Drosophila melanogaster: one gene and its partner. The gene in region 1 interacts genetically with each later gene. Each region holds a gene or a part of one and is shown on either strand. Other genes may lie near its edges.

Region 1 (8,996 bases):
GCATAATATTTCCAACCCACCTCCACTTAACAATACATCGATCATGCCTCAAACTGCCAGTGGAGATTCCCCCCATTGAGAGGAGTCTGTCTGGGACCTGAATCTAGACCAGAATCTGGATCTGGAGCGGCTGGCAATTAATGTGGTCTGCTTTTAGCCCGAAGATCGAGTGGCCACTGACAGCAGCATGCTTGCCATTCCTTGGCCATCTTCAGAATTGGCTAATGAAAAGGCTGGAAAAGAGCAAAGATCCATTGGCACAATCACCGCTAGAGGAAAACATTGGAAAACAATGAGAGAAAAAATAAAAAAAAAATAAGATTCAAAAGCGGTACTTTGCCGGCTGGCCGTTTCCCGTTGGCAGTTGCGGAAAATGAAAATGCCACAAGTCGATGTTGCATTATTGTGGCGCTTTTCAGACGCTTTTCCAGACTTTACGTAAATGTCGCGTGTGGCCACAAAATGGTCTTAATGTGTTTCTCGCAACAATGAGAGAGGCAAACAACAATCAAATGGTTTGCTGCCTTTTTTTCGGCTTAAAAGGAAAAGTCAATTGGCCTGGTCGTTCGTCTTGTTGCGGGTTGACGTGTGTAATTATCATAAATCGTAAATTGCAATTTTTCATCATGCTAAAAGTCGCACATTTTCAGCTGTATACAAAAAAAAATGCTTTGCATTTACAATTTACATTTTCATATACAATTGCTTTCATTTTTTAGTTATGTTTCTCGCCATTTCCCCAGTTCACGCCTCAACCTCAACGGTTGATTGAACTTGTCAGAGTTTTGAGTTGGCCAGAGTTGGGGAAAAAACATCATGGAAACATGAAACATGGCTAGCAAAGAGAGTTGTGTTTTTTGGTTGGTTTTGAAAGGCATCGCATTGTCTTGCCAAGATGCGGATACGTGGATATGTGGATACGCAGATACGAAGATACAAAGCTACAAAGATACACAGATACACGGTTCTCTGGGCCAGACCCATTAGTGTCATTCACGCTTTGGAACACACTGGAAAACCATTTCGACTCATTACCGAGTCATACACAAGACATTTTCGACTTAATTGAGTCGAAACTCGGCTCTGAATTGCTAAACAAATCGCTGCCAAATTGTTCCCCCGAAATAATTTAACCACATTTCTCCGGCGCAGTTGGTACACCCCATCCTCGATCCCCAAAATCGCCCTCCAGTCGTGTTAATTATGGCCATCAAATGACCGTCTGCCAATCTCCAAACATAAATCATAAAAGTGAGGACTCAAGCCAGTCGAGCGCGTCAGCTCGGTTGACAAAAGCCGTAGGAAACCCGAGAGATGCAAATCGATGGAATGTACAACACCGATGTGGACATAAGTACTTCCCCGCCAGCCGAGCTCCACTGTTTGTGCTTGATTGCCTGCGGAGAATGTCGGTGCAGCAGAAAGTGTGGAGTCAGTTTCTGGATACAAAACGATGAAGTGGAGTTCACCTGGTAGAAGAATCAATGCTCTATTAATGGAGCATCGAATGTTACTAGTTCTAAAAAGGTTTTTTACGCATTTAATGCATACTTACATATTCCTTAACGAACTTTAATGCTATAGTTCACATATTTTTGAATAAAGTTCAAGCTTTATGCAAAAATGCAAACATAAATGAATGAACTAGCAATTTCACTTATGATTTTTCAACACATTTCTGAAACCCTTTGATATCAAACTCCTGCCATTAGCTGATGGAGCCAGCAAAACTCGCTCACACAAGCAATTGTTAATCCGCAGAGAGCTAATAGAAGGAATTAGCAAACACCCCGTAAGAATTTGTTTAGACCCCGTTTGCCAGCCTGTTCCCCTTAGCCTTTAGCCCAGAACTCAGAGCTCAGAGTTTCGTTGGCCCAAGACCAAGAGCATGAGCCAGGCCAAGTTAAGGAAACGGCCAAGAAACCGCAACAAAGTGCGCTGCGCTTTCTGCTTTTCTCAGCCAGTTCGGTTGGAAACTGAAAGGTTGTGGAGAGGAAAACCGACAATCTAACTGATAATTTTCATTCATTTCTGAGTCACACAGTCAGTCGCTGGTGGTGCTTCCCACTTGCTCATTTGGCTCGAAGCTGTTGTACAGCGATACACCAAAGCTGGCCTGGCCATAAACTTGGAGCGCGGCATTTCGAGGCGGCCAGTCTGCAGTTGGCTTTCTGCTGGCAAAGACGCTTCGCAAGAGACTCGGGAAAATCTGCTGTGGAAAAAAAAGAACGCGAATCGCGAGTGTCTGTTAAAACGAAAACGAATCGAATTGAATCGAATCCAGGCTAGCATTTGGCTTAACTTTCAGTTTCGCCTCTATTTTGGCTACGTTTTTTGGGATATCAACACCCCCATTCAAAATTTTTTTCGAATTTTATGTATCGTGATTTTTTGAGCGAACCGATCGCTCTCAAAACGCTGCTGCGTGTGTGTTTTTGAAGTGAGTGTGCGGCAGCGACATTCGCTTTTCAAAAGCGCTGGCAAAACGAAAACTCGCAAGGATTTCACTTTGAGCTGCGCTGCTGCCGGCTTCCATCGGAATTGCCATCGGTTTTGTGGGGAGGGGGAGACAAATCAAAACTAGTTCAAGGCAGCTGTGCTGTATCTTTCAGATACAGATACATCCGCGCACATGGAGCTATCGCTGTCACCAAAAGAAACGGTAACTACAGGCTTTTCATTATGCATATTTCGCGTCTCGAATCTCTCCCATCAGCTCTCCTATATTTACCAGTATCTTGGCCAGCCTATACAAGTTTATTTAGCAAGTTTCAGCTGTTAATTACGAGCTGGCAATTATTTGTTTATCAATTACAATCAATTTTAGCGCCTGACGATGGTGTTTGCCCAGGTCTTGTAAGAGATTTGTTGACACCATTATTAGGGGGGAAATTAATAAAGATTTTCGCAAGGAAATTGACAGTCTTTTATTTGATTAAATCAATTGGGCAAATCACTTGCGGCAAATTTAAAATTAATGTATAATTCCTTGTAATACTCAATACTTCTTCCTTAAGTAAAAAAAAAAGGGTTCGATTTCCAAATGAACTTCTAAATTTTCATACCTTGTGCAGTAAAAGTAAGTGTGGTCCAAATTCTTCAAATGTTTAAAACCATCGATGGCCAGCAATTAAACTTTTGAGCATCATCCATCAAGTTAATAGCCTTACCGCAAGGAAAGTAAAAATTTAACACAATAGCTGTCTTAAGATAGATGGGTATCTGAAATTATTTTTAACATTCTATTCAGAACATTTCGGCGATCAGCTTTCGCTTAGATTAATGCTGATAATTGGCGGCTGTGAAAGTCTCTGCTGAAAACAAAGTTTAAAAAAAAATGTTATAATTTGCTAAGCGCTTGACAGAGAAAATTGACTTTTTGTGAGAGAGCATGACAAATGTAGTTTAGCTGTCGGCAGCGAAGATCAATCAATCATGATGGAGCCAGAGAGCTGGAAAACCTGGTTAACCCAAGCGCCCAGTTAAAGTAATCCGAGTTATTTCACCATTCGCGCAGGCGACAATTAAAATGCTTTTATGTTATGTGGTGTGTGCAGCGCATTTTATGCATTGCTTATTTATGAGCAGACCCAGTAAAAGGCAGTCATTAACTATTGTGATTTCCATGAAATGTCATTTGGTGGGAGTAGCAAACGCTGCCAGGCGAAGCATGAACTCGTCTTTGGTCACTGAGCACGCCACCATGTAATCACAAATGAAACGCGGCACACCAGACTCCGATGTCAAAACATTAATTAGCCAAAGAGGCAGCCTGCCTATTGACCCCAAACCGCTAGCCGAGATCACGATTGAAATGAAGATGAAGATGAAGATGCAGTGCGTCTGTGCCTATTGTATGCGTATATGCAACCACTTTCCACTTTGCTGCGTTCCATAAATAAATAAAAACCTAATGTTCGACGGCGGCCAACAAAAACTGGCTGCACCACCAACGTGATGTGGTTGGATGTGGTTCACGGCCCGCCCCTGTTCACTTTTGGTTTTCACTATCACTTGCGCCTCCTCCAATCGGATGCAGAGCACTTCTGCAGACGGGTTCGGGTTTGGGGTTTCTGGTTTTCATTTTTCTTTTGCTAGTTTTGAGCAATTTCTTTATCCTTGGCGTTGTGTCTCAAGTGTCTCATGACAGCAACAATTGGCGATCGTTTGAAAGGTGTTCAATGTCGTGGCAAGTGCTGTTCATGCAACCTGATTGTGACATTGTCACCAACTTGCAGTGAAAACGGGAGCACTGAATGGTAATTGCACATGAAATTTCGTTTAATAAACCTGACTTATTCGATTGGTTCGAGTTGCGTGCCTTTAAGTTGAAGTGCATAATCTCAGGAAAATCGAGAAAAGTAGCCAAGAAAAGGAGTGTCTTTTTCCCATGTAATTTTGAACTCTATTTTCGGACTAAATTAGTAAATTAAATCATCATACGACTGTGTTCCCTTCATAACATATTAAATAGAATACGTAACATCATAATATACCATTAAATAGCATTAAATTCAATTGAACGATCTAAAAATCTTATTTACATATTTACATATTTAAGGAGATCCGTCCCAACACCATTCCGGACTTAAAGGTGGATGCCACATTTCGGAAGGTGGCTAAACATGCGATTACCTTTGCGATTTGGAAGATAGACGAGGATCGCCTGGAGGCGGTACAAAGATCACATTATGGCACCTTCTACGATAGCTGCGCCTACATTATCTATGCAGCAAGTTTGTCGGGGCATTATGCCAATCACGAAACCATCGTAAGTAGTTGGTTTGGCTTGTGTTTCAGCAAGGTTTTAACTAATGCTCATGTTTACAGACACGCGAACAGAAGCCGAATGTGAGTCTTGAGCGATATATCCACTACTGGCTGGGCAAGAATGTTAGCGAGCAGAATCGATCCAATGTTGTTCATAAAATCCAGGAGCTGGACTCGTATCTGGGAAACATATCCTCTATTTACCGAGAGACCCAGAATCTGGAGAGTGCGAGATTCCTTTCGTATTTCAAGAAGGGTTACGAGTGAGTTAAAGTTCTCTGTTCTCTCTCGCTGGGAAGGGAAATAATACAGATTTCGTTTCAGTGTTCGATCGGGAGCACTAATAAGCGCGCCCCAGAGGCCACGACTTTTTCAATTGTACGCCCGCAAATGGTTGCGATCCATTGAGGTGGCCACCATCGATTGGTCGCACTTTAACTCGGATTACGTAATGGTCCTGCAAACGGATAATCTTACCTACGTCTGGATAGGGCGCTCCAGTTCAGGAATTGAACGACGAAGTGCCCTCGACTGGGTCCAAAAGCACTGCAGTGGATCGCCAATCACTATAGTCGATGATGGATATGAGCAGGCCATGTCCCAGGAGCACAAGGAGCTGTGGAACACCATGCTTCCGCTAAAGAAACGCATGGTCTGTCAGGCCAGTCAGTTGGTCAGCGAATACGCCGACTACAATAGCAATAAGTTCCGCATCTATAAGTGCAATCAACGGGGAAGGCTGCACCTGGATCAATTGGATGTGGGCATGCCAGCAAAAGATGATCTAAGCGATGCCCATGGAGTCTATTTACTGGACAACTACGGCCAGAGTATTTGGTTGTGGGTAGGAGGCCAGGCACCGCAGGCAGATGCCCTTTCTGCCATGGGAAATGGGAGAGCTTTTGTTAAAAAGAAGAAATATCCGGATAATACGTTGGTGGTGCGTGTCCTCGAGGGTCACGAGCCCGTGGAGTTTAAGCGTCTCTTTGCCAACTGGTTAAATGTTTGGCAGGAGAACACCAGGGGACATAAGCCAGTGTCCACAAAGTTTGGAAAGCTAGATGCCCATTCCCTATGCGAACGCCCTAAAATGGCTGCAGATACACAGCTCGTTGATGATGGCAGGGGTGAAAGAGTAATCTATCGTGTCTTCGGAGATCAGGTGCAAGAGGTGCCCATCTCAAAAACGGTTGTGTTCACCACCAATGCCAGTTTCGTGGTCAAGTACAGCGTGCAGGTAAGATAATAAGCTTAAGTTCTGTGTACAATCCAATAAATTCACTTCATCTTCAGTGCGCCACCGTTGTTCCCGCAGATTTGGCCTCCGTTGGCATTAAAACAATCATCTACCAGTGGAATGGTTCGGAGGCCTCTGTAGAGTCCATTTCCCGGGCGGACAAGTTCGCCAAGGCCAGTTTTGATGGGCTCAAGGAGCCTGGAATGTTTGTACAGCTCTATGAGTTCGATGAACCACCGCACTTCCTTCAGATCTTCGAGGGAAAACTTATTATCAGGCGCGGTCAGCGTACCGAGATGCCTTACAATGGTAACTCCAATGCCTTGCTGGACACCTTTCTGCTGAAAGTTTATGGCGATGCTAGCTACAATGCCAAGGCTGTGGAGGAGACACATCTGTCATCGATCAGCTCCAAAGATTGCTATGTGATCAAAACGAATCATGTTTGGGTGTGGTGCGGGCAAAGTAGCACGGGAGATGCCCGCGAGATGGCCAAAGCAGTGGGAGCTCTGATGGGGGAAAACTCTCTGGTCCTCGAAGGCAAGGAAAGTAAGGAGTTCTGGCAATCGGTGGCCATGTACTTCAACCAAACTCTAGTGATCAACGGAAATGGGAACTCATGTTCCAGCAGCACCAGTAGCAGCAGTGGCGCCGGCAGCATGTGCAATGGTAGCTCCAATGGTGGTAACATTTCACCCACTCTCAGCAATAATTGTTACCTAAACACCAGTGTTCCGAGTAAACCGAGACCTCCTGTACAACTATTTCTGGTATGGTGGCAACAGAGTTCGCTGAGATACGAGGAGATTCTCGGATTCGATCAGCAGGATCTCAGTTCGGATTGCACCTATATTCTGGACACTGGGAGCCTCACCTACGTCTGGCTGGGATCGCAGGCCCCAAACCAGGAACGCTACACAGCGATTGCCCAAAGTTATGTCCAAAATGCTCCATTCGGACGCAGATCAGCGACAGCGTTGGCCGTGGTCAGGCAGTTTCAGGAGCCAAATGTTTTCAAGGGATTCTTCGAGTCCTGGCAAAACGATTACGGCAAGGTAATCCATAACAAAAGGGCTCCAAGATTTCAAATGTTAACCAACTTATTTTGTATAACTTTAGAACTTCCATTCCTACGAGAAAATGCGCAAGGATCTGGGAAATAAAGTGACCAGCAATTGTTGCTTCGCAAGCGAAGGATCGGCTCTAATCCTGAACAACAGACAGAAGGACTTTGATGGTCACAAAAAGTATCCATTAACCGTGCTCATCCAGGAAATGGATATGCTGCCACCAGATATTAATCCGCTCAAGAGGGAGGTGGGTTCAACTAAACATAGAATGCGAATATCTCCTTTTTTTAAAACGCTGTTTTCCAACCGCAGGTTCACCTAACACACGATGATTTTGTGTCAGTGTTTAATATGTCCTTTTATGAATTTGACGAGCTGCCGAAATGGAAGAAAATGGAGCTGAAAAAGCAATTCAAGCTTTTTTAGATTATAAACATGTTGAAATGCGTGTAACGAGTGCGCACTGTACATATCCTCAATTGCAACACAATGAATACTATGAAGAGGTAGTAACTGTTGAAGCAATTTATGTTAAACATACACATTTTACGTAGATATAATAAAGCAAAAACATGAAATATAAATATATTAACTTATATGTAGGCCATCAAGTGGTTTCGACCTCCTCGGAGTCTGGCTCATCCCCACTACCAGAACCTGGTGGCAAAAATAGGTAAATAATAGGTAAATACATGGCCATTGAAGTTAATATTGAGTCACTACGAAACTTACTAGGAAACAAGAGCCCGAAAAGAAACTCGAAAATTCCACCAAGCAGATCCCAAAACATTTTCGATCCGGTGTTGTCAGCGTTTTGTAACGAAGTACAATGACATTACCGCTCGAGATCGGTTTTGACCCAGACCCCTTTAATGAGCCATGACCAAAAACGCTCAACCAATTCGGACTTAATTCGAATCAGAAATGATTGCATGATCTGGGTCAGAAATGGGACAAATATACGAGTACACATTTGTGTATTGAAAAGCTTTTAAAGGTAAATGCTCATATCAAATTTTTTATTTGCTCACGATCGCTGGTCTATTTCAATTGTAGTTGTCGTAATAATCGCCCAAGTACTCCGCATCAGCTTTACAAACAAAAAATGAAAATAAAATAGTAATATGATTAAAAAGCCCTGTTTTGATAGCATTACAAATTCATTACTTATGTCTGAGAAGAAAAGGTCGTTGAGGAAGCTCAAAAATATTTCCGGCAGCTCACAACAGTCCATATTGTTGGTTGTACTTTGGTAGTTTCACAATTTTCGTTTTGTATTTATAGCATTATTTCAAAGGTTAATTATACTTTGTATGGTTTATTTGGATTAATCCATTTGATAACTTCTATTAGGTTCGCGGATTATTAAAATAATAATAATCTAGGTGCTCGACTCATCGTAATCATCATCTGATGAGGTATCACCTGCAATAATATGAAGTGATTTCCTCTTTATTTATTGATAAATTGACTATAATGTCCGCTTTTTTTTTACTACTTATCCAGCTCCACTTCTCCCATGTCCTCCCACTTACTGCCAAACAGCATATCCCCAATGATTTCGAATATCATTCCAATTATTTCACAATCCTCCATGCCTTTGCTCCTGCTGCTCTTGCAACTTAAACTAAAAGCATCAGTCTTAACAGCATGTTTTATATACGTTTTAGCTGCTGGGTATATAGTACTAATTGAATTTATCTCATGAACTTGATACATTTCATGGCTAATCGTACATAATTTAATAAATAACCAAGCGATTAGGTTTAAATATAAAACCGTCTGGCCGTGTGACATTCAAAATGTCCCGAGCTTAAAACATAGTTTTATTTAACATTGTGTGGGGGTGGGTACTTAAAAAAGAAAAGGCATATATAAAGCAATTTAATATACATCATAGCCATACATGGGTGCCTCCA
Region 2 (6,027 bases), on another chromosome or scaffold:
GATTGTAGAAGGATACGCGTGTATTTACCGAATCGGGTAAATCACGTGGCGACGATAGATTCTCGAAATCCTCGTCTATGGAGCAGAGTGTCTTGTGTTCGGCATCCTGTATCTTTGACTTCAGTATTTCGGAATCGATCTGCTGCTGATGCTTGCCATTTGAAGTGCGTCCATTGCTCTGGATTTTGATTGGTGCTGATTTACCATACAACATGGTAGTGGGGCTGTCCTTCTCATCACTGCTACTTCCGCTACCGCTTCCGCTACCGTTAACTAAAGTTCCGTTGATGTTCATCGACTTGCTGGCCGACTGCTGTGGCAGCTTGCCATTCTGCAGGACTCCGTTGGCCTTGCGCGCCTGCACAGTTGGTTCAATCGACGAGTCATTGATGGCCGATGAGTCCTCGTCGTCGGGCTTGTCTAAACAATTTTTATATCTACGCCGAAACCAAAAGACGCCGAGTATAAATGCTACACCGGGCAGTGAGAGGTAGAGTAGAGGACGACCGGATACCATTTTCGCTGAATATTGAAAGATCTGAAAGGGAGAAGAAGTTATATTAGTCTGTGCGATTTGAAAATATACTTGTGTACTGTCACACAAATAGGATTATTTTGATCACACTAATACTGAAATAAAAATGAAGTAGCTTTTGTTTGTGCAATATTTGGAAAAGTTATGGTTTGTTGTTTAATTTACAATTGGAAATAATGTGTGAACACCTCTTATCAGGGCAACAATTTACAAATCAAGTAGCGTCGTATATAATTACTTTAAAAAGCTTGTCATGGCTCAAGATAAGAAACGGTACACAATATGCAATTTTGTGTAGAATAACTTTGAAAACAAAGTAAAGAGCTTTGAATTTGCGTTTAAATTTAAGCGAGAATTTCAAATATGAAATCAATTTTGAAGAAAAGTGTGAGATTAAAGGGCTAATTTGTCAACACCATCCACATGAACGTTGTTTTTTAAATAACGACATATGCATGTTGTTATATTTGAAAAAACCTATTTAAAGGTTTCGAATTGGTTTTGCAAGTCACGAGACCCGCCTGCATGTGCTCGTCTGCATAAGTGTGCGTGTGTGTGTGTGTGTTTGCCAGTGTGTTTGATTTTGGTTTTTTCCTTTCTGAACTTTTGCGTATTAATAGCAACAAATAAATACGTAAATATAGACAACAACACAAATGCCGAGAGAGAGAGAGACAACGAGAGAGAACGACGAAAAAGGTGCAAAGCGATTTTTGAATGCCACGCGGAAGGGAAAAACGCAACGGGAGAGAGCGAGAGAGATGGAGCGATAGATCGCATGCAAAGAGCGCGTGCGCAAGAACGCAAAAGAGCGTCGGCGAAGAACGGAAGAGAGGCGCAAGAAGAAACCGTTACGTTTACGTATGGCAATGGCAAATGTTACGAAATCATTACAAAACAAAACTAAAAGTTACGAAAACAACAGCTTTGCCAGAAATTCATCACCTATTCACAAAATAAATGTGTGTTTTTGTATTACCACTAGGATAAAACTGAATTCGTTGCTTCTTCCGGTTTCGTTTGTATTTTATGTCGTTTTATGGCATCAATTCGCTTCGGCTTATTTTTTGGAGTTTCTTCTATGCTTTTGTTTATTTTCTTTCTTTTTTTGTTGGGTTTCGATATGCCGGCGAAATTGTTCGAGAGATTCGAGATATCGACTGCTCGATATATGAAGGGAAACTACTTTGCACGCCTTCTAATTGCCAATTCCTCTGGCTTTTTATTTGTATTATTTTTTTTATTTCGGCACCGATTCTCCGCTCTTCACTCCATCCGCTCTTCCGCATCGGCATACCCCCACCAACCCGCGAAAAAAGAGAGGATGCGTGGTGGCAAGTTTTTATTTAGCGCCCCTTTCCACCCACACACACACTCATCCCACCAAGCGGAAACGAGACAGAAAGCCGGAGAGAAGAAAAGAGAGTGGCGAGCTCATTAGAACAAAGAAATCCGAAAACCGTTAATCAAAATCCATTCAAATGGATTGTAAGACGCTCCTTCGAATTTGGTCAAAATTTCCGGGGCCCGAAAAGTGCAAGTCATGCCGAACAGTAGTTTAAAGCCATGAGATCTTTAGTACTTTTAAGTTACTCACTATAGAACCGATTTACCCACTATACTCCCGCTTCCCCCCATCCACAATATCGTCACTTTGTTAGGGCCCAAAGGTCCTCCTGTTACACAGTGGTCAGATGATAAGCTCAATCGACAAGCAACTGAAACACAAACATACATTGTATGTATGTACATATGTATATGTATATGCATATGTATATGTATAAATGTACATATAGCGACAGATCAACGGTTGATGGGAGCATGCAGGGGGTGGGGGATAAGGGGCCTAGTGGGGTGCTATAAAATGGCCATGGAAGGGCAACTGGCCAGACAGCTGTGGCATTTCCTAATCGTCGAAACCGGGTGACGGGAATTTTTCAGATTACGTTTTATACCCTTTGCTTAGAGTATTAAAACTTGTTGACAAAGCTTGCCACATTTTGCCTAAAATTCTTAATAAATGGATATGCATAAGAGCAGGGAGAAGTGTAGTTTTACACGTATTCGTATCAACTCTTGAATTAAAACGACAAAATGTAAGATAAGGGCACAACAACTTCGCAATGGTCTTCTAGTTTTTGTTATTTTTTTTTTGTATTTCCTACACTGTAAGCTTGTTTATACATGAATATTGATGTGTCTGCGTGTCTCGGCATGCAAACAAACATGTTTAGGCATGTTTTTTGTGTGCCTTTCGGTTATTTGTTATTTTCTGACTTTGAACTTGCACATTGTTGTTGCTCCAAACTCGAATACCAGTGCGGCCAAAAGAAGAGGAAGCCGTCGAACGGGGAGGTGAAGCAACAGCCTAAAAATTTGAAATTCCCCCGAACAAGCGAGAATGAGCGACACAGAGAGGCAAGCCAGAAGAGAGCACCAAAACAACAACAAATCAGGTGCAACAACATTGCCAGCTAGCCGAAAAAGTCCACATTGTTATAATCTTGGCAACGTGGTTTCCGATCATATGGTGGCCAAAAATGGGCGGGGATTGTATAATCGGGGGATATACTACTTTATATGTGTATACATATGTATGTATGCATAGACGCAATGTTTTCTTTGTGGGAGTGGCAGCTCCTTTTCGCCTTTGTTCTCTTTCAGGCGTAAAAAAACCGAACATTAACGGTGAAAGCTGTAACACACACAGACGCACTTATGCTCGGCATGTGTATGCGTGCGATTGTGGGTGTGTGTGTGTGTGAGTGCTGTCATTGTGTAATCGCCGAATTGAACTCCAAATTTTTTCCATAACCACTTACTGTCACTTTGCCGGAACAACAACAACAGCGGCAAGGCAGAGTCATACACTTAACAAAAAGTTGACAAAAAAAAGGTAGTTAAAACGTTGGCTATGGTACCGGGAAAGAGGTGCGAATAGAGCTCAAGACACGGACATTGGAACAAATCCACACAGAACAGAACATGACACCATTTTCCGTCACATCTCTCTGTTTTGGCAAACACACACACGCACTTTTTTTGTACTAGGTTATGTTCCGCGTGCTGCGATTTCTTACCTTTGTGAACCGCTTGGGTAACTTATTTTGCTCACTATCTTTGGGTGCTTTCAAAGCTATCTACTGCACACGCGAGTTGTGTATTGTTTTTGCTTATTTGCTGGCGATTTACTGTCGTTTTCTCAACGCTAAAGTGCTGCACGAATTAAACACGTGTCTACGTTCCACCTTTTACAAATCACAATAACATGGCCGGCGTGCGGCAGTGTTGCCATGCATCCGCAAAACTCTGGCAATCGGAGCTGCCTGCTTAATCACCCGCACTCGCGATGGCCAAATCCTCGAATTACAAGAGCCTTTGTGCACACAAAAAAAAAATATAGAAAAAATCACTTCACAGTTTGAATCGCAGCCCAATTATTTCTAGAAAGCCGAAAAACGTGTGCACGGAGTGCTGGTTATCAAATCGAATGGCAGCACATGCACAAACAGGGCTGCCCACGCTCATCGATAGGTATCGATTGGGGCAATAGGTATTTTCTTAGGCGGCGTTGCCACCGAATGTGCACAAAAGTGTTGCAAATTTCGCGATATTTCGTTACGATATTTTGTGGAGCAATACTTTTGGGCATTTGTAATTTTCCAACGTAGTTCTTGGGAAGTTCTGATTTCATTTTGTCTTACCACAATATGCTTGTTCATGCGAATTTCAGCCTATTTTTTGTCAGTATAGCGCACTATAAATCGATAATTTCGAAATAATATTTATATAGGAGCAGATAGCGACTTCAATATCTCAAAGAAAACAATCACTAAAAATCTTCTTTTTAATTTAACACAGTGATGTGTGTAATTCCAAATGATATTTTTTTAAATTTATAAAGCGGCGCAAAATAAAAAAAAGACCAAGCTAGTTAGTAGTGAATGCATACATAGATTTTTGAAATCCCTTCAATGATTTAATTACCTCCTGTTTGAGCGAAGAACATAAGCAGTGTGGATAATTAATTAAAATAATAATAATAGCAATTATTTGCAGCATAAGTTGAATGATATAAATGAATTATTTGCACATGTTTCGAGACCCTATAGTTTCTGACAACGGTTCAAATTGACCACACGCGAGATTTGCGACGAAAATAAGCAACGGTCACACTTGGTCACGTCGTTCACGTTTTCTATTTACGCATAAACGAATAAAAAGCGCCTAAAAGTGCTATAAAACATATATGTTGTGTGCTCATGTGCTACACATATCGCAGCGAGTAAATTTAAGGTAGTAGGCAGATCTTGTTGTGCATGTGTGTGGGTAATCACAGTTCTAGTTTTGTAATTTTTTATATTTCCTACACTGTAAGCTTGTTTATACATGAATATTGATGTATGTGCGTGTCTCGGCATGCAAGCAAACATGTTTAGGATTGTTTTTTGTGTGCCTTTCGGTTATTTGTCATTTTCTGACTTTGAACTTGCACATTGTTGTTGTTCCAAACTTGAATACCATTGCGGTCAGAAGAAGAGGAAGCCATCGAACAGAGAGGTGAAGCAACAGCCTAAAAATTTGAAATTGACCACACGCGGGAGTTGCGACCCAAATAAGCAACGGTCACACTTGGTCACGTCGTTCACGTTTTCTATTTACGCATATACGAATAAAAAAAAGTGCATAAAAGTGCTGTAAAACATATATGTTGTGTGCTTACGTGCAACGCATATCGCAGCGAGTAAATTCAAGGTACTACTCAGATCCTGTTGTGCATGTGTGTGGGGGTAATCACAGTTCGTGTCTATGTGTGCGTGCGTATGGGCTTGATTGGTTGGGTGCGTGTATGAGTTCGGGGTCCTTTGGATTTTCGAGAAATCATCGCAAAAAGGGTAATACATATATGTATGTATGTTTGGGTGGTCAAACAGCGGGGGCACTCAATTTCGCTGGCTGGCAGCGGGGCGACGAACTTAACCTCAAATCCTGGGTCACAGTTCCAAACGTGACGAAAGACAACAAAGCAAACAAAGCCAATAGGGTCAGTCTGTCGGTGCGAGTTCCAATCGAATTCAATCCCGTTGCCAGTTATACACATCGATAGCCGAATCGGAAGAGCAGCAGCAGGGTTGTGACTATAACGATTGCATTCGAAGCAATTCGAAGATTTGAATCTGTGATTGGAACGCTACATATTCCTTCCAGAGCGCGCCCACAAGGAGGCCAAGGCCAAGCAGCTACCTTGCCATGGTAAAGAAGCGTCAGGCGGACAGTCGCGACCACGATTGCTCAACGGATTCCGGCAATGAGGATCTGCATCATCGAAAAGGACTCGGCTCGCCCGGTCAGTCGGATGGCGCCACCCCCACCACCGCCAGCTGCCAGCACATCAAGAAGGCGGTGGACGCGGCCCGACTAAGGCGTCTACTGAAGTCCACGGGTCTACTCTACGAGTGCAGCCAATGTCAGAAGCTGGGCAAGACAGCGGG

The links.
Region 2: of qua (region 1) and spoon, changing one suppresses a phenotype caused by changing the other (phenotypic suppression), as found in Drosophila melanogaster (one study listed by BioGRID).

The regions. Positions count from the first base shown.
Region 1 is NT_033779.5:17,485,468-17,494,463, reverse strand, and holds qua (quail), read left to right. Parts: upstream 1-2,148; 5' UTR 2,149-2,632; coding exon 2,633-2,662; intron 2,663-4,561; coding exon 4,562-4,771; intron 4,772-4,830; coding exon 4,831-5,033; intron 5,034-5,082; coding exon 5,083-6,007; intron 6,008-6,063; coding exon 6,064-7,062; intron 7,063-7,126; coding exon 7,127-7,324; intron 7,325-7,389; coding exon 7,390-7,503; 3' UTR 7,504-7,658; downstream 7,659-8,996. Other genes in the region: CG43220 (uncharacterized protein), read right to left, coding at 7,685-7,734, 7,810-7,867; CG43645 (uncharacterized protein), read right to left, coding at 8,124-8,167, 8,245-8,311; CG43221 (uncharacterized protein), read right to left, coding at 8,459-8,502, 8,613-8,673; CG5131 (uncharacterized protein), read right to left, coding at 8,962-8,996. UniProt on the Drosophila melanogaster protein: Required for the formation of cytoplasmic actin filament bundles in nurse cells, possibly by regulating both the polymerization and organization of actin filaments.
Region 2 is NC_004354.4:5,416,837-5,422,863, forward strand, and holds the start of spoon (spoonbill), read right to left. Parts: upstream 3,501-6,027; 5' UTR 3,403-3,500; coding exon 3,358-3,402; intron 2,261-3,357; exon of another isoform or gene 1,481-2,260; intron 539-1,480; coding exon 1-538. Other genes in the region: Usp16-45 (ubiquitin specific protease 16/45), read left to right, coding at 5,786-6,027.